6 linked regions of the Danio rerio genome follow. Each later gene encodes a partner of the first gene's protein in a complex. Links are inferred from orthologs where the notes say so. Each region holds a gene or a part of one and is shown on either strand. Other genes may lie near its edges. The genes, in order: mybl1, lin54, rbl1, tfdp1a, lin52 and lin9.

Region 1 (3,500 bases):
TAAACAACAAAAGTCAGTCTGAGGCAGACCTTTATTCAAAAGAAACTTCAAATGCACCTGATTTCTGTAACCCTGATGAAAGCAAGTGTTTGCCGAAACGCGTTGGCGCAGTATTGAGGAATAACTATGTTAATAAAGACTTTTTCATATTTTTTCCACATTTTTCGAGTGCCTTGGACTGACTTTTGCTTTTTATTCTGCTGAATCCCTTACCCAGAGCATGACACATTATTTAAGCTACCCCTGAGCACTTTTTGCTTAATTTTGGATATATATTTTTATGTTTTAGTGTCACTTATGATCAGTTTAAACCATCCCAAATTTATTTAAATAAGGTAAAAATGCTTTTTCAAAATAGTTATGATTTAAAATAATTGATATATTCATTCATTAATTTTCCTTCAGCTTAGTCTCTATTACAGAAGTCGCTACAGCGGAATAAACTGCCAACTATTGCGGCATATGTTTTACACAGCAGATGCCCTTCCAGCTGCAACCCATTACTGGGAAAATAGTTCATATATAGATAGATAAATAGATTCAAAACTGACTTTAGCTCACTTTAAAATAATAGTTTGTGCAATATTATGTTAGCTCAAAGACTAGCCATAACTGTTTTTATTTGGTAAAGACTAAATGATCCTGACATATTTTGGAAAATGGTTGAAAGGGTCATTTATATGGTAGTTTTCAGCAAAGACAATATTTTATAAAATCTATAAATTTAACAACTACATTTTATAATCTATAAACATAATGTCAAACTTTGCTAGTTTGATTCATTCATTTTCTTTTCGTCTTAGTCCCTTTATTAATCTGGGGTCGCCACAGCGGAATGAACCGCCAACTTATCCAGCTTATGTTTTACGCAGCGGATGCCCTTTTAGCTGCAACCCATAACTGGGAAACATCATACACAAACACTACACAACACTACACACAATTTAGCCTTCCCAATTCACCTATACCACATTTTTGTACTTGTCGGGGAGCACCCGGAGGAAACCCACACGAACAAGGGGAGAACAGGCTAACTCCAGTTCACACAGAAACTCCAACTGACCCAGCCAAGGCTCGAACTAGCGACCTTCTTGCTGTGAGGCGAACATGCTACCCATTGCGTCACCGTGCCGCTCCAGTTTTATTCAGTTTAATGTTTTATATCAGCATCAAACATTGTTAGATGACAAAGTGTTTATTCTGAACATCTCTACAGGTGATTGAGCTTGTTCATAAATATGGACCCAAACGGTGGTCAGTGATTGCTAAGCACTTACAAGGGCGCATAGGCAAACAATGCAGAGAGCGCTGGCACAATCACCTCAACCCAGAAGTGAAAAAATCCTCCTGGACCCAGGAAGAGGATCGCATTATCTATGAAGCACACAAACGTCTGGGTAACCGCTGGGCTGAGATCTCAAAGCTCTTGCCTGGAAGGTAAAAATCAGTCTAAATCTGTGCTGAATATAGAAGGATGCCTGTGTGCTTATATAGGCTGGAGATTGACGTTACTTCACTCTTATAGAACGGACAACTCCATTAAGAACCATTGGAACTCCACCATGCGCAGGAAGGTGGAGCATGAGGGTTACTTACAAGAGGGCAACAAGAGCTACAACAGTGATCCAGGCCAGAAGAAACGTCCCAAATCCAGCCCGACTGTGGAATATCCACATGACCAGAATCAGCCAATATTGAGCGGCCAATCACAGGTGATAACACATTTGAATCTGTCGCTAAAGCAACTTTAATTAGTTTAGGGATTCATTCTCACTATTAACTAGTGACTATTAAGATATTTGTTGTTTGTTAGGACTTATAAATTACGTATTCTGCATTATTACACGGCTGTCTGGAATACTCCATTCTGATTGGTCACCCTAGTAGCAAAGAATTCTGGCCCAGATTTGGCATAAAGCTGGCATAGCAGGCATTCATCCGGCACTGGCATACAGCATGTGGGCCAAACATGTACCGGGTTTGGCAGAGGTGGCACCGTCTTTAAGGCGGCACACAAGATTTGGGCCAGATAAAAAACGTAGTATTTGGCCCAGATTAAAAATGTGATAAGTGGGCCATTTGAGTTTGGCCAGTCTTGACCCACATTTAAAATACACTAAAATCATTTTTGAGTAAAGAAAAAAAATTCTACCAATCAGGTCACTTTGAGAAAAAGCATGCCCATAGTGTGCCTAAAGCGCATCACTCCATGGGTTTATCAATTTCATTGCAATCGTGACACACCAACCTATCTGGCCCAGTTCAGGCCCAGTTATGAGTTATTAACTTGGCTGAGACTTGGACCAGATATGGTCCGTGTTTGGCCCTTGTCTGGAAGCCAGATTTGGTCCAGTCATGTACCGTAATTCACTGCGGCATGTGGGCCAAGCAAAACCTGATTGTGTGGGCCAGAGCTGGGCCAGAGAAATTTTGCTATGTGGGCAGTCACAACATTTCAAGGTATGTTATCTCGAGATAACCACTAAATAATGCAGGCTCATCCAGCAATTGTGAATCACATTGACTGTCAGTAAATAAGTTCAAATCCATATACATATCTTCATTTATTTGTATCTGCTTGTCTGTCACATTGCGGTTTTTGACTGTTTGGCACCATCTTGTTTATGAATAATACGGTTAGTATTATTCAACGGGTTTAATTTCTGTCAGCTTTGCGTTTTGACTGTTTGTTGCCATCTTGTGGTTGAATAGTGTGCTGGTTAGTGTATACTCTATCAGCTGTTTTAGTTTCTGTCAGATTTGCACTTAAACAAAGAATTACTAAACTATTACACCTCAGAACAAGGTTTTGTGTGTGATTTTTTTATTTTTTTTTGTTTGTGGCAGGTAGCTATGTGATGAGCAAGAAAAAGTACATCCAGGTTGGTTGTTTTAGCAGAATAAAGCCCTTCAGTCCTATACAACACTAGTAGTGATGGGTTGTTCTTGAATGATTCGAGAACGTTGAGTCCTCTCAGAGATTTGTTCATTCGCATATGCTCAGATTTATGCAGGTATAGCAGAAGATTAGTTCCTTTTTCAAGCCTTCTATCGGGTTTGAGTTGTTCATTCGTCACATGAAAGACAGAAGCCAATCATTTGCAGTCAGAGCGAGAAAAATATTTAATCAGTTCAACTCTCGAGTCCTCAGTTTGAGTAATTCGTTCATCACATGAAAGACAGGAGCCAATCATATGTAGTCAGACCCGGAAAAAGATTTGATCTGTTCATTTCTGGAGTCCTCGGTTTGAGTCGGTCTTTTATTATGTGATAGACTCCTTTCGTCAAGACTGTGTGCGTTGGTTAAGCATATATGGGACTGTCTGTGTAACAAGAACAAACCACTCAAATTTAAAGACCTGTCAGATGAGATGAGCTAATCATTGACAAAAGACCAGGTAAACAATAAATGATTATCTTCTCTTTCTTACAGCTTTCTAGTTATGACTTGTTTGTAGTGTGATCAACGTTTTGGTGTAGTTGTAGATGAGTTTGGAAGC
Region 2 (3,500 bases), on another chromosome or scaffold:
GCATGAAACAATAACTCAAATATACGGCTGCATGCATGTATTTAATATACACAGCGCACACTAAAGTAAAAATAGAATTATTTTAATAATGTTTTTAATCATGTGAATCATGTAATATTTCTGTATTTAGTTAAAACGTTTAAAAATTAGGCTTTTTAGTGATATACAATTTTTTAGTTTAACTCCTTTTTTATTGATGCATAATAGTCAGTTACAGTTTCAAAAATAATGAATCAGTCGCACCTCAGTTGTTCCAGTCTATCAACAGATAACAAAATTAGTTCACATTTTCTTCCTCTGAATCAAAAATATTATTATAAATTTTTGCATTAAAAACAATATTTAGGGCAAAATACAAATAAAAAATGTAAAATAATAATTATAATGAGATATATAGAATAATATTTTAAATAAAACTAACAGATATTGGGTTAGATTTTCTGTATTGGGCCATACAGAAAACATATAAATACAAATATATAAAATAGCCATATTTTCTTATAGGGTATGACAAACTGTTTGCATTAAACAAAAGTATGCATCACAAGTTTTCATCTTTGGAAAAAAAAACTTTGTCTTCAGAGAATGACTCTAGAGTAAAAAATAAATTACTTTTCAAAAGCCCAATAAATCTCATAAATTATTTTTTAGCATTTTAAAACAAAAAACTAGGAATATATATTTAAAAACTACATTTAATATTACTGTATTTGTAATCAAATATTAGTACTGCTCTAAAATAACTTCTTTAAAAAATGTCTTAGTGAAAAACAACATCTATTTTTCCCCCATTGAACACAATACATTTCATTTTAGGAAACCTTTATAATATTTTGGAACAGTAAACATGTCAGACTATTATTCAAATAAATCATTTACTTCAGCTTTATTAGTTTCAAAACACTGATTTCCTTAAAAAGATAAATAGACAAAACTTAACATACAGTAGCTTAGGAATAGGAATGCAACTATTATAGATTTTAATAGCACAATTATAGTCTAAGGAATAATCACGGTTTCAAGGTTATCACGATTATTATGCAATTTTAAAATACTACTTGTAAATTACATGAAAACTCCTTATATTTTAAAGTGCTGTTTATTGCTGTTTAGTAACCAATTAATACAGCATAAAAATAAAAAACAAACAATAGTCCATTTTTCTTTTCACTTAAACATAAGTGAAAAAAAGTTTTTGGCATTTGAACATAAATAATAATTTTACACTGAAAATAAATGACAGAACAATGCATAAATAAATCTGAATAATTAAAATGTATTTGTCTAATGTAAATCATATTAGCTAGGTATTTCTCTTTTAGAGAGAACAAATGTAGTCAATGGCTGCTGAACCGATGTCTGAAAGGCACTTTTAATCTGTTGCAAAATTGTTCTGTATTTTTCATTATTATTTTTTTCTCTTTGGAATAGAAATGTGCATATTCTATACGAAGTATGAAGCTGATTGTTCCAGTTGTCACAGTGCGTTCATGTCATTCTTTCAACAAGGTTTGCCTGGAAAGTGTGCGTGAGCGTGTTGCGTCCCGCCAATTTTCGCACAAAAGACGCGCACCTCCACTGAAAATAACAAACTTGCGTGCACATAAGATGCGATATCTGAATGGCCCTTAATTAAGAGCCTCAGCCATAGTTAATCCTGTGTGCGTGGGTTTTAGCCTCAGTTTACAATTTTGGAACTTTAAACTAGCGCACAGTTGGCATAACTCTGTTTACGGTGTTGAGAGGCCTTTACAAATAATTAACCATGACGAATTCAATCGCGGTTAATAGGGAAATCGCTTAATTGTTGAATCCTTACTTGGAAACAATATAACAGAAACATTCTGCGTTTTTAAAACCTTGACCTTTTCAAACAGACCTCTCAGCAAACCTTGAGACCGGTTATCTGTCTGTCTAGTGCACATGATACTTTTTCATACTTGATCACTGATATATTCTAACTTTGTTTCATATGTATCTATATTTTTCTCCAGTGTGTTTTCGGTAACTCTGCAGAATGGATGTGGTGTCTCCTGAGCTCAACAGCCTCCTCCCTGATGAGATCATGGATACAGAGGCAATGGATGAAGATCCGCCTGCTTCACATCTTACCCCTCCGCCCCAATCTGCCCCAGAGTCGGCGCAGGTACCAATGGAAACAGAGGTGCCTGAAATCATTAGCATTTGTCCAACCACCGCGTCTATGCAGGCCATCTCCACCAATGCTAAAAGTACCACCAGTTCCACAACTCAACTCCTACTCACCCCATCATCATCCTCCTCCACCACTACAAAAAACGCCACTCCGACCCTCCCCAAAATTCCCAGCCTTTCCGTCCCGCCAAACCACCAGCTCATCATCAATAAAGTGGCGGCAGATGGAAAGTCTCCGGGCGGCGCAGTGATAAAGCAGGAGGGCCAGAAACTGCTGGTTGCCGGGCTCAGTAAAACAGGGCAGCCCATTATGCTGGCTCTGCCCCACGCTTGGAACAAGCCGGCCACCAGCCAGGGCTCAGGTGATGCCAAGAGCCAGCCCACGCAGATCAAGATGGTGACGGCGATGGGTAAGCCTGTGATCGCAGTGAGCTCAGCCAGTCAGCTGGTGGCTTCATCCACACCACTGCAGGCACAGCACCTCAAGACACTGCAGGTGGGTAATCTCCGCCCAGACTTACACTGTAATATTGCTAATTAGAGCTACACAATATAGCCACAGAGTTTATGATTTTTTAATATTTTTAATATATTAGAGAATTTAAAGTATTCAGGCACAAGTGATTGTACCATTTGTAACATTAAAATGGATTGTATTGGATATTTATCCAATGGAGTCTGTAGACAATTTTGAGGGACGTAAATAATAAAATGGTCTTGAAAGGGGTGCATTCCCAAACAATCACGTAATTTGCGGCTGAGCTCTTATAGTACGATGCATCGTTTGGGAAAAGGACGATACAGTGTCGAGTGCTTCCCAAAACACGCAGTTGCTCTGTCGCAGAGCCATTGTTAGAACCACGTTAGCTATAATGTAAATCGTCCATAATGATGCTCTAAACGGGGTGGTAACAACTTCTCTAGAGAAAAACTCCATAATTTCTTTGTGCAAATTATATTATTTTACACGTACAAGCATTTAAAATAAGTGCAATATTAGTTTTGGTAAAAACATGCACTCGTTTTCCATATTAATTGAAATATATGCAAATGGAACATATAGGACCAATGTTTCCTTCACAAATATTATTGAGAACATTACATATTCTATTCTAAAACATAAAATCACTTACAAAACCTAATGCGTATTCTGATACCTGATACGCATCTCATTTAAAAATCATATAAATTCATAATGAGGCCATTAAGAAATGAAATTTAATATTTAATATTATGAAATGAGAAAAAATCCTACTTTAAAAAATAATATTAATAATAATGATGTTGTTGTTGATGATAATGATGATGATTATTATTGTAATTATTATTATTATTAATAATACTAA
Region 3 (4,297 bases), on another chromosome or scaffold:
TTACATTACAAACCACAGAAGAGGGCAAACTCTTCAGCAGAATAGCACTCCTCCTTATACTTCAGCCTCCACATCAAAGTTCCTGAAAGCAAAGAAGGTCAAGGTGCTCAAGGATTGGCCAGCCCAGTCACCAGATATTAACATTATTGATCATGTCTGGGGTAAGATGGAGGAGGCATTGAAGATTAATCCAAAGAATCTTGATGAACTCTGGGAGTCCTGCAAGAACGCTTTCTTTGCCACTCCAGATGACTTTATTAATGCGGTATTTGAATCATTGCAGAGATGTATGGATGCAGTCCTCCAAGCTCATGGGAGTCATACACAATATTCATTCTGTTTCCACTGCAGCATGTTTTATATTCTATACTGTACATTATTTTATGTTAAGTCACAAGACTTTTGTCTGAGCAAAGTCAGACCTTACTGTCCTAATGAAAAATCAAGGCATGATTATATTTTATATTGGTGAAATAAGTGTAATCTAGAGGCCTTTGCCTTTCATTCAAGCCACTTCTGATACCAAATGATCAACTAGAAGTCAAATTATTATTTGTTGTTCCTAAAACTTGGATATGCAACGACTTTTGTCAGTGTATCAGACACAATAAGTGGAAAAGCTAGAAACTCTGGTCAAATCTGTTAAATTTAATTATGTTTTAAGCTCGGTACAGTTCATTTAAAATGTGTTTTATGAGATGAATCAGGCTGTAATGAGATTTACTGGCTCTCTATGTAAAACAATATTCTAATGTACAGTATTAATAAATGTAATTCATGGTTAGATTAATTATGTGGTACAAATAGAGCCTTTCACACGCATAACGAAGTCAGTAGAGTAGAAATTATAAGAATGTTGCTTTATATTTACTCTAAATTACATTTATATTGACAAATATATCAAATAGGCCTACCATATCATACGTTTAGTGTGGTTCAAAGAATAGAATAGAAATTATGTTTTACACATTAATATATTGTCATTTTACGTTTATGTTAGAATAAAATAACAAATGGTGCCATACTTTATGTAATTTCTATATGACACAATATGGGGGACCCAAAGCAGAAATATTCTATCTATGGAATAATAACTGCACTTAAAACATACTATTATATAATTAAAAATGTGTATATGTTAACTAATCAAAAATGTACTAAATAGAACATTAGCACATATTCGGGGATAAATAATGCATGACGCGTAATAATATAAGACCAAACAAGTGAACAAACGATAAAATAATCTTGCAAAGACATTCCTAATTATCTTTGCTCTCGGTGTTTCATAATATTACACGCATACCTGCCTAAATGAACGCAAAACGGATCATGTTGGTCAGACGAACCATATGTAACGCGTTTGGTAAACTCTTGTATGGAAGTTTAAATCCTCCATGCTGCCTCTGTCGTCTTTGTTGTTGTAATGACGCCATCTCACCCTATTCTCCCATTGGCCGAGAGGGGCCAGTTTTCGCGCCATTCGAGTATCTCGGCATTGTGGGATAGCATCAGGAGGTCAGCGGCGCCCCGGGTAAACTCCGTGTTTAACCCGAACACATTTTTTTGGGACATTTAACGGATTTTAACAGATTCCAGCTATGCGTGGGGATGAAACGGATACAGAGTCCGTCAGATCAGCCGATGGCTCGATCCGGAGTAATTTCGAGGCGCTTTGTCAGGAGCTCAATATGGACGAAGAGACGGCAGCTGAAGCGCTTCAGAACTTCAGATCCATCTGGAACACTTACACGCTGGAGGTTTGACTTTAGATCACATTTACACGACAAACTAATGACAGGAGCAGATTATCTTTTTTGTTGTAATTCTGAAATGATCAAAATAATCAGTAATGTTGTCTAAATAAGAGGTTCCATTTAATGTTATTGCGAAATTTTCTGAAGTAACTGCTAACGTTATATGAATGTTCAGTGTCGGTATACAGTTATAACATTTATATAATGTTTGTAAACTGTGTATTCAAGAATGCAATGGTGTACTTACCACAATAAGTTACATATTTTAAAAAATCCGACTTAGTTGGTGTGCCAACTTATAAACCCAAATACAGTGTAAAAATGCTGGGTTCAACACAAATCCGTCATGTTGTCCCAACTCAAATCGATTTAGAGCGTGATTGTTTTTACAAATATAAGTGGATTCTACGTAAAACACTTATGTTGTCTCAAAACATCTTAAGAATTGTGTTGTTTGGGCTGATTTTAAGTAAGTAGTTTGAACAAGCTGCAAAAGTAAGTTTTTGAGTGTATTCATTATAATAATAGCCGGGTCATATGTTACATTAGGAAACAATACATATGTTGTTGCGCTTCTAATATGATTGAGACTTCCCCTTGTGTTTGTGTCATGTGACATAGTTGGGAACTCTACTTTAAAGGGAAAGAATGCAGTTGTTCTGTCAATTTCGTATCGAGGTCAGAGAGACCTGGATAAATTCAGAGAGAAGGTATATGTTAACATTATATTGAAACATCTGTTTATATTTTCCAAAACAGCTAACCACAGAGTTATGGGATCAAAAAATATCAATCTGTCAACATTTTTTCTATTTGAAATGAGGAAAATAAACATGCGTGATGGATATGACAAAAAAAGTCTTCGAGTTTACAGTATACAACATACTTTGTAGAAATTCTGTGAATTAAACAGAATGATTTAAATATATGATAAGGAAAAAGCTTTGTTATTGATGTGATGTCTCTTTGTTATGGATGTGACGGATGTAAAAATTGCAACTTGTGTGACTTTGGTAAATCAAATATAATTGAGACATTTTTGAGTATTTTTAAGCACCGTAAAATAGAAACCTATACAAAAAAACGAAGAAATGATTTTGCTATTATGGCGAACACACATTTTTTTTCATGTTAAGGTTGACATTTGCATGTAATTGCTCATATAAATAACTATGATAACGTTATATGAATGTCACAGTAATAACTATATAATATAACGTTACCATATTAACTAAACATTTTTTTAAATGATGTTTTCAAGAATACAATGGTAAACCTACCAAGGTACTTATTTTAAAATATCTGATTCTATTGGTGTGCCTTTTTACAAGCACAGAACAGTGCAAAAATGTTGAGTTTAACACAATCTGAACAATCTCGAACACATTCCTTCATGTTGTCCCAACTCAAATCGATTAAGTTAACTTAATTCTTTTTACAAATTTAGATGGGTTCAATGTAACACGTTTAGGTTGCCCCAAAACACACACACACACACACACACACACACACACACACACACACACACACACACATATATATATATATATATATATATATATATATATATATATATATATATATATATATGAGCAATTCCATGAAAATAACCTTGCCATGAAAAGAGTTATGTATTCGCTCAAACAGCAAAACCGTTTCTGCATTTATTGTGTAGGCTTGTATTTTACATTGCTTTAAAATTCTCAAATGCCTCTGTCAATGTTTTCAAAAAGTTATATTGGATTTACAAAAGACACACAAGTGGCAATTTCACATCTGTCACATCCATAACAGAGAGGTGTCACATCCAATCAAGTCAATTCTTTTTGTTCTACAGACAGCCGACTCTTATCTTTTTGATTTGGATTGGTTTTTTTTGGGTTGTGTAGTTTAATCCACAGAATTTCTACAAAGCATGATGTTTACTGTAAACTCACAGACTTTTTTCATCACATCCATAACGCATATTTATTTCCCTAATTCAAAATAGAAAAAAATGTTTACATATTGATCTTTTTCTGATCCCATAACTCTGTGGTCAGTTGTTCTGATAAGTATTACCAGATGATTCAATATAATGTTAACATATACTTCCTCTCTGAATTTATGTTTTAAGATTTTACTACAAATGTCACATCCATAATGCTGGAATTGCTACTATTGCTACTCCGTTATATGTATTAAAGTAATAAAGTAAATAATGCATTCTTTTTGTTGCAAATATTGTTTGATATAGTGAGGCAAAGAAGTTCAAAACTTGAATACATTCATTTTATTCATAGGTGTAATTTGTTTAAAATCAGCTGCTATATGGACTTGTTTATTGATACTGTGCACTTAGTGTTATTGATATAGTTACATTTACATTGTTTTTAATAACAGCATACTTGCATAAAATACATATAAATATCAGTAAATATAAATATCATTTTCCGAAAAAATAAATCACGTTAAAGTAATTTAATTACTAACGCAACTTTATTCCAGTAAATGTTCATCTTGAAATATTAATAATAACAGTATAATGTTTGTTTTCATTT
Region 4 (4,206 bases), on another chromosome or scaffold:
GTTGAAGCAAAGAAGTAAAAGTACCGATACTGCACTAAAAATGTACTCAAGGGACAGTAAAAGTACACATTTATAAAACTTCTTGGTAAATTACAATTTCTGAGAAAAATTACTCAATTTTCAGTAATTTGAGTATTTGTAATTAGTTACTTTACACCACTGCTACCTAACTGTGTTTATGTACTCTGTTTAGGTAAGAATTCGACATTTATAAATGTACAGCAGGGGTGCTCAAACTTGGTCCTGGAGGGCCGGTGTCCTGCATAGTTTAGCTCCAACTTTCCTTAACCCACCTGCCTGGAAGTTTCTAGTATACCTAGAAAGAGCTTGATTAGCTAGTTCAGGTGTGTTTAATTGGGGTTACACCTAAAAAATGGAGGAAACCGTCCCTCAAGGACCGGGTTTGGGCACCCTTGATGTACAGTATTTAATTCAAATAACTTCTTCAAATATACCCACCCAGAGACCTGAAAATGATAGTGACACTAAATGGTGACACCCTTTTTGAACACTTCTCCATTAGTTATCTGTATAAAACATACTGTATACAGTCCTGTCTGTGGGGGCAGCATGAATACTGATAAACATGTTACAGTCCTAAAACCAAAATGTGACCTAATGACTTAAAGTTTCAATTTTATATTTTATATAATGAGCAAATAAAATAGTCTAATTTATTATTTTGCTGATTTGTACATTATGATTTGTACTTCATAAATATTGACTTGTGCATAATACTAAACGCCTCTAAACGTATTTTATGTTGTTTTTTATACATCTTTTCTCAATTATTTAAAATGAAAACACAATTTATTAATCGTAACTTGGCTAACAAGCCAACAAATACACTTAAAGAGCTAAGAAAGAGTTTACCTTTTCCTTTTCATTTCCTAAATACAGTTAAATGGATACCAGTGCACTATTTTGCACCACAAACCTGTAATAAATTGATATGGTGTCTGTATCTAAGCTTAGGTTCAAATGTTTAGTACTTTTACAGTACTGAGATCTAAATAAATAAACAGGATGACTACCGTGCAAAGGGGAAGCGGTCTAATTGAAAATATAACCCGAGAAAGTGATATGAAAGCGGTAATTAGACATTTATACACTGGTAACAGATGTTCTTATTGTATTGGGTGGTATTAATAAACATATATTAGACATTTAATACACATGAACCATTTTTTATTCTCTTTATTTACATATATACCTACGCACGCTCCACCCTCAGACGCAGTGGGTGGAATCCAGTATAATCAACCAATGAGAACATGTCAACACAGCTTTTGTAGCGCTCCGTCTAATCAGAATTTAGCGCGGGCGTGTCTTTTGTAATACGTTTTTTCGACGTCACGAGCATCATCGTCCAATCGGGTTTCCCGTGGCGTCGACACCGCCAAGCTCAGTTTTACAGACCTAGAGAGGGAGCAGGTTCTACTGTGCGCTCCTATTCATTCTACGCTAGACAGTTGAAGGCGGATGCAACCGACCGTAAGTGAGACCAGGGGGGGCTCCGAGTCCACACAGACAGCTTTGAGCGATGTTTTCCGTTTTTATATATCACCAGTGCATAAAGAAGCTGTCTTTTATCTGCGCTTGTAATAATTTAACACAAAATAAGTGCGTTTGACAGCAAACTCGTTCTAAAACAACAGCGTGCGACTGTATGCAGTTGTACATCTGCTATCTGAGGCCGTTAGTCTGTTAACCATCAGTCCTGATTCATTATCATATAGGTGAAATATTAAAACTGTCTGTCTCAGATGGCTTGTGTTAGCCAACATGCTAAGCCATGTCAAGTGTTTCTGTCAGTGTAGTGCAATAGAAAATCGTCCCTGATCTTTACCGATCGTACAAAAAAGCATTGGCAGGCAAAACTGGACGTGTAATAAACAATAGTAAGGGGATCGTAGATTGATTATGATAAAGCTGTCGAGATGACCTCGATTTGAGTGGAAGTTAGCTTGACGTTACTAGCTCGCCTGGTCGCTAGCTTAACAGTTTTATTTTAATTCGCTTTAAAGCGTGTTTTAAAGACTTTTGAAACTAAAGAAACAGTTGTTATTGTTACTATCGCATAAGCACGAGGATTTTGTTCAATTAATAAGTAGTTTTTGACGACAGAAGGACCTGTCACCTCAGCTAGCATCACTGCATGTTGGCTTTGCTTTAGCAACCATGTAAAATGGCTGCCAGGCATTAAACCAAAACCATCCTGTTTGTTCAATTAGTTCATGAATGTTTGCAAATAATTATGTCCCATTATGAACGGCTATTTTCCGTTTTTAGAGTATAATCGGTTGTTTAACTTGTGTTGCTGTTGAAGCCAACGAATTCTGTGACCCTCCAGCTGAATAGGTGTTGTGACTGTCAACTGTGTTGCTTAATAATGTGGCCGTTTATATACATATATTTGCTTAAGATTATTCTTTATTAAACTCTATATAATATATATTGATAATTTTAGTTCTTTTATTTGGAATTATTTATAGGGATTTACAGTTTGCATGCGTCTTGTATGTGCATGCTTAAAACATCCGCATCCATTTTGAGGTTTATGAATGTGCCATGATCTAACAATCAAACATCTCCCAAGTGCAAGCTCGTTTCAAAAGCACGCTCATTCACCGCACATGGGTTTTTATTTTTCATATTATTTGATTTATTTTTGTTTCCTGTTTGAGAGATGGGCTTCAGACCTCCTCTTCCTCTGTCCTCTTGCTAACTGGCTATGCCAACAAAAACAGCACCTAAGAAGGCAAAGGGCTTCAGGACTGTAAGTTCAGAGGAAAGTTTACAGACTTCATTTCCAGATGGCCATTTAAGTCCGATTCGTTTGCAAAACGGTACGAGCACATGCACAATACCCGATCTGCTCGCATTTAAACACGAGAAGCACGTTTTGATCACAATTAGGACCAGGGTTCGTTGCAAAACGTGTTTGAAAGGCTGCTAGCTAACTGGGCTAACACGCTTTATAATAGTGCACACTGCTTCGATTGTGCATTATGTTTGGAGCGGAAAAAGTAAACGAATGAAGCAGATTATCGTTCTGCTTGATGCGTTTACACGCTTTTTTATTACTTGAGACACTTGATATTTTTGTATTTAAGGGCCCTTTCCTTTTGCAAGAAAAGTTACTCAAAACGACAGGAACTGTTGCATATGGATGTTTTTCAGGATATTGCACGAGGGGTTTGGGTGTAGGAGTTCGAGATTTGATGTTAAAGAGATGATACGATTCGTCGAGGTCTTTGTCTGGTAATAAAAGCTGCATGAGAGCTGGCGGGCCTCGTTTTCATCAACCATGACAGTGTTTCCAAACCTTGTGAGCGTCCTACCTAGACAGCATTTTAAAAATTGCGACTTCTTTAGCAAACACCGAATCGAACTAACTTTGAATTCACACAGTGCTTGAAAGTGTTTGGGTCTCATCTCAATACACTTGTGATGTTTTAATCCACATGTAAATAATATCATCAAGTAAAACATCTTGGCTAAACACTGCATTGAGATGTTAATATATAAACATTCGTGTAAACTTGTATTGTTTAGGCTTGTGCTAAAGATGTAAGGGTGTGTTCATTGACACTTGGTGGGTTTGGTTTGATTAGAATTATCTCTGGTGCAGTTGCTCTGTTGGATCATTTGAATAAGTGTGAACGCTGCCATGGTTGTGGACCAAACAAGCAGACCATCACTGCTGGAAAAATAGGTTTTGGCATGATTGCGATGCAACACAATATACTTCCTTGCAAACTAAAACATGTCACAATATGTGACCACAAAAAAGACAGTGCACTATCATACATATATTTTTAGAAGAAATACTGCTTCTTATGGTTGAGTACAGGTTTTGAAAAGGAGTCTTCTTGCAATCAAAGTTCTTAATGTCACAGTTTTGACTCCTTTAGCCTTCATGTTTTATAGGCTTTCCACTATAAGTGTGTTTAGCCCAGCACACAGCAATGTTTTGGATGTTCTCTTACAAAATATGTAATTTTTGTATTAAATGTTTATTTCTCTAACACTTTTACATTGTAGATTGTGTCAAAGCAGCTTAACATAGAAATTCTAGTAAATTGAAACCGTGTTAGTCTGGATTTCACATTTGAAGTTCAGTTCAGGGTGGTTTAAATTTTACTACTGAAAGTCCAAACACTGAAGAGCAAATCCATCAATGCACAGCTCCACAAGTCCCAA
Region 5 (4,252 bases), on another chromosome or scaffold:
TTTATTTGGATTTAGGTTGTGTTGCATTTGATACCAACACATTTTCTGGCTCAATTGACTGAAAATATATATGTTTTTCATTAATCACCAACATTGTAAGAGCTCTGTATTTATACTTGAATTTTACTTATTTAATTTTACTAATTATTTTATTTTTCCAAGTATAATAAAGTGACCTTCTGTCTTTTAGAGACATGATCTGTACAGAGGTGTTGATAGTTATTTCTTCAACCAGTTTTACAATACCATCCCTTTTTTAATGTCTTTTAAATGGGCCTTTTCGTATAATGCTATGTACAAAGCATTTGAAAATGGGTTGATCAAAGTAATAATGCTACAGTGAATGAATGATGTTTCTTTAGTGTTTTAAAATAAATAAAATGAACACTCTGTTAAAAATATTGATATGATACGTTAAAATGTGCTGAAACTAGACTTGTTTATGTTTACCAATAATTTTTATTTTTGGTCTATTTATAATTACTGCCTTTTTTGTAGCTGTACAGAAGTTTGTTCTGCTGTGTTTTTTGGCCTGACTGAGTCTTGAGTCTTATATTATATTAACACTATCATAATACTACTCAAGTACTCTGTATGAAAGCTAAACATATTAATGTTCGCATATTATTCATATATATTTTTACTTATTTTGCAAGAAAGAACGTTATCAAAGACACAGTTTAAACAAATAGACAGAAATGAATTCATAATTAAAATTCCAGCAAATTAAACAAGTTTAAATGATTTACACCAAGAAAGTGTTTTACATGCAATATAACTGTTAGGGTCTTTTAAAGAGTTCACATATAAAGTAATTTCTTAAAATAAAAAAGTAGGGTGTTTCTTTGAAAATTTACATTTATCGATGTAAATTTTAGGGGGGGGGAAACAATTAATTACAAATTTACAAGAATTCAGAAAGTATCTAAAGAATATAATTTTTTGTGGGAAATACAAAAGTTTGGAAATAATACAATTTTTGTGAAATTGGAAAAGTCAACCCAAATGACTTTACAATAAGTGCACTCCCAAAATAGGCCAAAAAGATTTAGTGTTTCACCATATTGAGTACAAAATGAGCATTTGAAGGAAATATTGTTATTAAATTTACCTAGTTTGTTGTTTATTGGGTAGCAATTATGAATGATTCTGATTGAGACTTCAACAGCTTTATTAGATAAAAATATGTATTTTTTCCGAATACCATCCAAGATCAATATCAAGAAAAGGCCATTAAAGACCATTAAAGAGATCAGAGAACTGTTAACAATAAAGAGAATCACTTTGTTTGACATAGAACTGAGAAGAGTTTGGTCAACAAAAAGGTTTGTGCTGTCAATAATATTTATATTCATATTTTTCAGTCAATTATTGCGACATCATTTTACAACATAAGAGGGTGTGGCTATTTTATCCAAGACCTCCAGTGATTGGCTGCTTAGAATCACGTGTGTTGTTGTCAAGATGGCGTCTCCGAATGGAGGTAAATTTTAATTCCTCTTTTCCCTGGCAGCGTTAGTTGTTAACGCAATAGTGCAACGGACTAATTAAGTCATATAAATCATTATGCGGTTTAGCATATTTTTTATAAAGAACTGATGGATTCTGAATCAAAATAAGCTTTTCAGTCGGAATAGCGTCATAAAATTGTTTGGAGCCAGTCATTAGCAAAGCTACGTGTCAGACGACATCAGTTGTGTAGTAATAATTTAATACGAATGTAATAGTGTAGTAAATACGCGAAGACATATTACTTTTGGTGTGTCGTGATTTTATCTTTAACGTTAGTTATGTAACTCATTATTTTGTGACAAGATTACTCAATGCAGCTAGCTCAGCTTTGAGTAACTTAGCAGCTGAGTAAACATAATATCTCTGTCATAACATCAGCTTAATTTTACACCTTGAATAATATGTGACAGAAGATTTTTTTTTGTAACGTCATCTAAGCTGAGTTATGTTAAAATTGAAATTGTGTATATTTAACATTTTTTATTGTACTTCAGGTTTATTGATCCTGTTGCTGATGAGTTTTCTCTGACCATAGAGCATTTATCTTTTTAATGTGTAGGTGAGGACTTTGAATCTTCTCTGATAAGTTTAGAAAATCTTGACCGGGCTTCACCTGACCTGTGGCCAGAGCAGTGTAAGTTTGACTCTCTAATCTTATTCAGTTGGACTAATATTTATGACACATTAACATATTTTTCCAAATATATGTAAAAAAAAATGCACTGATTGAAATATAGAAATTACATTTGATTATTACACATTGTCATATTTTTGAACGCTTTGTTTTTAACAGTGCCGGGTGTGTCAGAATTTGCAGCATCCTTTAAAAATGTGAGTAAATATTCAAATGATAATGAATACTTTTCAAAGTTGATGTGAAATTAAGGCTTGGTTTTTGTTATTTCAGCCTATTACAAATTCTCCACCCAAATGGATGGCTGAACTGGAGTCAGAGGATATTGAAATGTTGAAAGGTCTGCCTTTTTTAAAGTAGTATTCATATCAAGTCTTTTAATGTATCATTTAGTCTTTTATCTATGCTTTCTATATATTGCTTAGTAGAATAGGTTAATAATAGTTAGATGAGTTGCTTGGTGAATTCCAGGGTGTCCGCGCGGTCTTAAAAAGTCGTAAAATGTCTTAAACCTCAAAATTACATTTTTATGTCTTAAATTTACTGAAATATTGTGTTGTAGTTCCTAAATGTTAAATTAAATTTTTTTTAAATTAGGTCTTAATTTTCCTTTGTTTATGTATCGCTACGCAGTCTGGCCATTAGTCCTATACGATCACCAACAATTCATCTCAATAAAACCTTTTATATAAAAAGGTGATTTTTAACTCTGTTTACCATAACAGTTTTATTATTTTCCTCAAAATACATAATATTTGTTAAAAAGTGTTCCATGTATTTGCTGCTGAGGACACCGACCTGGACAGATTGTTTTGCATAGATTTAGTTATATTAAAACTTTAAAAACATTAATTCATTTTTTATTGTAAAGAAAGTTTATGTTGGAAAAATAAAGTGTATGTATACAAGTAGAGCTTGTTTGTTTTTAAACAATATTTGAATATTTTTATAAAAAATATCTAAAATATTTATTTTTTTATTATTAAATTATAATTGTATTATTAATATATAATCGTTTTTTGATGGGGCAAATGAAAAATCTTTTCCATCTGGGCCATATGAAAAATTCCTTAGCGATTAGTCCTTTATGAGTCTAAAATTTCATTCATAAGGGTCTTGAAAATGTCTTGAAGTCTTAAATTTAACTTTGTGAAACCTGCAGAAACCCTGGAATTTATAAAAGCTACAGTATAATATTTTGTTTCGGTTCTGGTCCATTTTTATTTTATTTTTTGTAACTTGTTTGTTGTGGCTTTTTTTTTTTTAGAATTAGGAAGTTTGACCACAGCAAATTTGATGGAAAAGGTGAAGGGTCTGCAGAATCTGGCTTACCAGTTGGGCTTGGAGGAGTGTAAGTAATGTCTTACTCAACTCAGAAATAGTGCATTAGTTCACACTGTTTATCTAGTTACGGTATATTGTAAGTCATCCACTAGATGGCGATATTAGAAAAAGAATAAAACTTACTGACAAACACAAACCCAGCTTTTAATACATAAAGACATTTTTCATGTTTTTTGCCGCTGTGATATTTAGGATAGAGTTAAAAAGACAATACAACAAATAATTCATTATATGTAGTCTGGAGCCTAAATCCATCTGAATCCTTGTGTGGAAAAAACACTTATTTGTTATGTTCTATTCGTTTATTTCAGTCTGTAAGTCTCAAATGAATTCCCACTCTATATTTAAACAGAACTGGCTTGTTGCCCAGTGTCTCTGTAATATTATATCACAGAATTGCTAGATGTAGCATTAATCCACGCAGGCAGGATTACAGGAAAGATAAGTGTTTCAGTTATTTTCTAGATGAAAATGGGCATCGAAACATCGCACAATTTGAAAGCGAGTACTGCAGACCATTGGTGAACACTCGTTTCAGATGTATTACATTCCTTCTGCTGATTTGACCTTTGTGTGGCATGTCCCTCAGAAAGCCCTCAACAAACTATGCTTCAATGAGAAAAATCAGTCAAATGCTTTTCTGTCTACTTGATTTTTACTCTACTATTTTGAATAATTTCCATAATGTTACAGAGAGAGGATAAAAAAAGCATCAGTTAATTTAAATAATTCAAAGATATGCATTTATATTGATTTAAAATT
Region 6 (3,500 bases), on another chromosome or scaffold:
GTATGTATATGTAAATCCAAAGTGCTAGAGCATTTACTTTGTCATAGAACACAGATCTTATCATTCAACATTACAAAAATACAGATTTTCCCTCTGAATTTTTTATCCCATGAATGCAGGCAGAAGTATATTGAATTCAGTCCATTTACATAAAGTTTTGATGTTTAAGGTAATAAACTGCAAATAATTAACAAATGTCTTGCTGCTATTATTTTTTAATTTCTAGCAAGTTAACGTTTAAAATACAAATAATCACCAAAACTTTAGCTACAATAAAAAACTGGCAAATAAGGATTTTTATTCAATATTGAAAACAATGCGATTATTTTAACATCACTTTTTCACTACTCATTTTTTTAAACCTACTTACAATCTCCTTTCTTGTCCAGCAAATAAAAATAGTCAGTTGGACAGTTTCGTTTTCAGAGCTGCTGCCTCAATTCGAGCAATAAAGAAGAAAAAAGAAGAAAAAAGCACTCGTATGAGCAAAGTGCGGAGTTGTCCAAATAGTTGGACATTTCTATTTTTGTACAGTGGAGGGGGAATTTAAATTTGACTGACAAACAATGACCGAAGGACGCTGTTAATTGTCAATATTAAATTTCATTCATAATTCTCCCTACATTATTTACATGCTTTATATTTAGGATTTTCCATAAGAACGTTTTTGTCTGGTTGGCCCAGCTTTCAGTATTGCAGGATACATATCAATACTTGTGTGCTTTTAACTTCTATGCTATTACATTTAAGTAGTTCTATTAAAGTGTTAATTCTTGAAGGAACACAATCTTACTAGACTTTTTTTTTTATTTACAGTACAAAATTTTTCTTTGTGTGAGGATACTTGAGATCTAAGTGTCATTTACACTCTGTCATGTCACTAACAAATTACGGTTAACAATTTTAGTTAATCTACACATGGCGGTTGAATGACATGACATCCCCAGCCCAAACCATAAGGACCAGATTACAAGTGTGAACAGTGTTAATGTTTACTGTTTCTAAATAAGTCCCGTTTGCTGTTTACTTCAGCCAACACGGAGCTCTAAGAGGAGTCGACTGTCATGTGAGGATGAGGAGCGGCCGATTGCCTCCAGATCTCCCAGGAGGAGCCAGAGGGTTACCACTATGCCTCAGGTCAGAGAGAGATCCAGGATCTTTTTTTTTTCAATATAATTATGTTTTTATTTTCTTAAATAGTAGTACATTTACATCAGATACATGTTAGAGATCATACATCTGAATATACTCTCAAATATAAGCGCACTTACTGCACATCCGCTTTCTCTTTTAGCAATATATGCTTTTTTCTCTGTGCACATGTAAACATATGTTATACATAGAAATAAAAGGAAATAAGAAAGAAAAAATAAGCTAATGTCCGCTACAAAAACAATCAACTCCAGAGAAAATAGTCATGTACATGTAGGCAGTCATCCATTGTATCAGATTTTTAATAACAAAAGAGTTCAGGTCTACAATTTCATGCATAATTGCTCAATTTTTTCCAGGATTAAATAAGTTGTTTCCTTTCCTGATTTACAAATCTGGTAATTTGTCCCATTTTATACATTTAATTGTAATTTCCATCCATCAATTTAGGGATGGACAGCCATTTTTGTTGGTAATACTCTTTTTGACAGCCACCAGCATAATATTCATTAAATATTTTTCTCTTTTGAACCATTTCTCATATATACATCCAAAAAATAAATCAAATCAAAGGCCTGGTCACAGATGTAAATATATTTTATAAGGCTCTTTGTATTTCTTTCCTGTAGTTTTGAATAACAGAGCAGTCCCAGACACTGTGATAGTGATTCACATCTTGATTTGCACATTTCCTCCAGCATATAGACACATTTTCAGCATAATGTGATTTCTGGGAGGGTGTAATATAATAGGTTGTTTGCAATCACTTGGTTCTGCAAAATTCAGATGGAGGGCATGAAGGAAGTAAAATAACTGAATGGGAGAAAGAGGAAAGTCTGTATTTTTCTGATTTATACCATATTTCAAAGGAGATATAAATACACCACCACATATGTTGGGCAGGATCCTTATATCATGAAGAGGGCAGAGTTTTCTACTGAACTCAAATATATTTGCCTGTCATCAATGCAGTATATACTGTATAAGCTATTACGTTACATGAAAAAAATACTATAGTAAATTTGGAAGTGTTTGGAAGCATGCTATATTAACTTGAATTAAACGGTCGTAGTAATTATGTTGTTGCTGTGGTACAACACAACAGTAGTAATAATCAAATTTTTTCAATAGGCTTTCGTTTTTTTACCCTATAATTTCACACCATCACAGTACACCACAATTTACATGAACATTATGGTGTTTATTACAGTTTATCAGTTTAATATGCTACAGTATTCTGTATTTTCCCTATGCGGATATCCTCCAGAGATCACAAAATAACAGATGAAAGCATACAAAAGCATAATATCTACATTATTATTTATGTCGTTTATATTTGTAAGGGGGAAAAGTGCTCCACAATAATAACCGTCTAGTTTTGTCTCAAAGGTTGCATTTCTTTTTTGTTCTGTTGATGAACATACCATCAACAAACATTTACCGCTGCTCCGCATCTCGATGTTAACGTTACTGTTGTTTATTCCACCAAAACGCCAGTAAAGACTAGTATTATTTATTACAAGATGGAGATTTCATTGCAGCGATTACATGGCAGGGTACGTTATTTATATTCTCCTGAATGTTGTATAAGTGTGGTGGTGTTTTTATATGATTTTCATATAACACTTTAACATATTTACATATAGCTAGGCCTGTATATAATCTTTATTAGAACTTTCAAGTGAATTATCATGTCCAAAAAAGTTTGTACGGATAGATTTATTGAAAAAATGTTTACTTCATGCCGCCTTTTTCTGTTTTTTCAGCCACTTTCTGTAACTTTCTCCCATTTATAAGCAAAAACTCTTATTAGTCTATGAAAACTGTTCTGCATTTCTTATATTAGCCGATTTAAACAATTATAAACAACATAAAACATAAACATTTTAATGTCTTGATAGTGATTCTTATAAAGAAGAATCACTTTCTGCCCTCCATCTGAATTTTGCACATCTTCAATGACATCATGTGAAAACAACCCATACCTTATTAAACTCTTCCAATTAAACTCTCTCCATTTCTGTCGTTTAAAACATTTCCATTGATTCCTCCATATTTTTGTCTATTTCTCATCGATTATAACAATTCCATCTCCTTTACAGGATCGTTTTTTTAATCTGAAACCGGCTGTCATGAAGATCAGTCTATTTGCATTTTCTGATTCTGAATGTTTGCCTCTGTAGAAACTTACAAACGTCGCAACCCCAGATAAAAGAGTTTCTCAGAAAATTGGGCTGAGACTAAGAAACCTGCTCAAACTACCCAAAGCACACAAATGGTGCATCTATGAGTGGTTCTATTCAAATATCGACAGGTATGTTTTGCAGATCACTATGTTTGCTTTGTAT

What was found.
Region 2: mybl1 (region 1) and lin54 share a complex: the UniProt entries of both Homo sapiens proteins name them as parts of the DREAM complex. The link is inferred for Danio rerio from reciprocal best matches to the Homo sapiens genes MYBL1 and LIN54.
Region 3: mybl1 (region 1) and rbl1 share a complex: the UniProt entries of both Homo sapiens proteins name them as parts of the DREAM complex. The link is inferred for Danio rerio from reciprocal best matches to the Homo sapiens genes MYBL1 and RBL1.
Region 4: mybl1 (region 1) and tfdp1a share a complex: the UniProt entries of both Homo sapiens proteins name them as parts of the DREAM complex. The link is inferred for Danio rerio from reciprocal best matches to the Homo sapiens genes MYBL1 and TFDP1.
Region 5: mybl1 (region 1) and lin52 share a complex: the UniProt entries of both Homo sapiens proteins name them as parts of the DREAM complex. The link is inferred for Danio rerio from reciprocal best matches to the Homo sapiens genes MYBL1 and LIN52.
Region 6: mybl1 (region 1) and lin9 share a complex: the UniProt entries of both Homo sapiens proteins name them as parts of the DREAM complex. The link is inferred for Danio rerio from reciprocal best matches to the Homo sapiens genes MYBL1 and LIN9.

The regions. Positions count from the first base shown.
Region 1 is NC_133199.1:27,718,927-27,722,426, forward strand, and holds part of mybl1 (myb-related protein A), read left to right. Parts: intron 1-1,216; coding exon 1,217-1,437; intron 1,438-1,525; coding exon 1,526-1,712; intron 1,713-3,500. UniProt on the Homo sapiens protein: Transcription factor that specifically recognizes the sequence 5'-YAAC[GT]G-3'.
Region 2 is NC_133185.1:12,005,142-12,008,641, reverse strand, and holds part of lin54 (protein lin-54 homolog), read left to right. Parts: intron 1-1,994; 5' UTR 1,995-2,017; coding exon 2,018-2,650; intron 2,651-3,500. UniProt on the Homo sapiens protein: Component of the DREAM complex, a multiprotein complex that can both act as a transcription activator or repressor depending on the context. In G0 phase, the complex binds to more than 800 promoters and is required for repression of E2F target genes.
Region 3 is NC_133181.1:54,220,306-54,224,602, reverse strand, and holds the start of rbl1 (retinoblastoma-like protein 1), read left to right. Parts: upstream 1-1,497; 5' UTR 1,498-1,601; coding exon 1,602-1,760; intron 1,761-4,297. UniProt on the Homo sapiens protein: Key regulator of entry into cell division. Directly involved in heterochromatin formation by maintaining overall chromatin structure and, in particular, that of constitutive heterochromatin by stabilizing histone methylation.
Region 4 is NC_133184.1:36,641,782-36,645,987, forward strand, and holds the start of tfdp1a (transcription factor Dp-1a), read left to right. Parts: upstream 1-1,406; 5' UTR 1,407-1,494; exon of another isoform or gene 1,495-2,849; intron 2,850-4,206. UniProt on the Homo sapiens protein: Can stimulate E2F-dependent transcription.
Region 5 is NC_133192.1:33,276,441-33,280,692, reverse strand, and holds the start of lin52 (protein lin-52 homolog), read left to right. Parts: upstream 1-1,452; 5' UTR 1,453-1,464; coding exon 1,465-1,483; intron 1,484-2,071; coding exon 2,072-2,146; intron 2,147-2,305; coding exon 2,306-2,343; intron 2,344-2,419; coding exon 2,420-2,486; intron 2,487-3,413; coding exon 3,414-3,497; intron 3,498-4,252.
Region 6 is NC_133195.1:47,003,051-47,006,550, forward strand, and holds part of lin9 (protein lin-9 homolog), read left to right. Parts: intron 1-1,032; coding exon 1,033-1,137; intron 1,138-3,335; coding exon 3,336-3,466; intron 3,467-3,500. UniProt on the Homo sapiens protein: Acts as a tumor suppressor. Inhibits DNA synthesis. Its ability to inhibit oncogenic transformation is mediated through its association with RB1. Plays a role in the expression of genes required for the G1/S transition.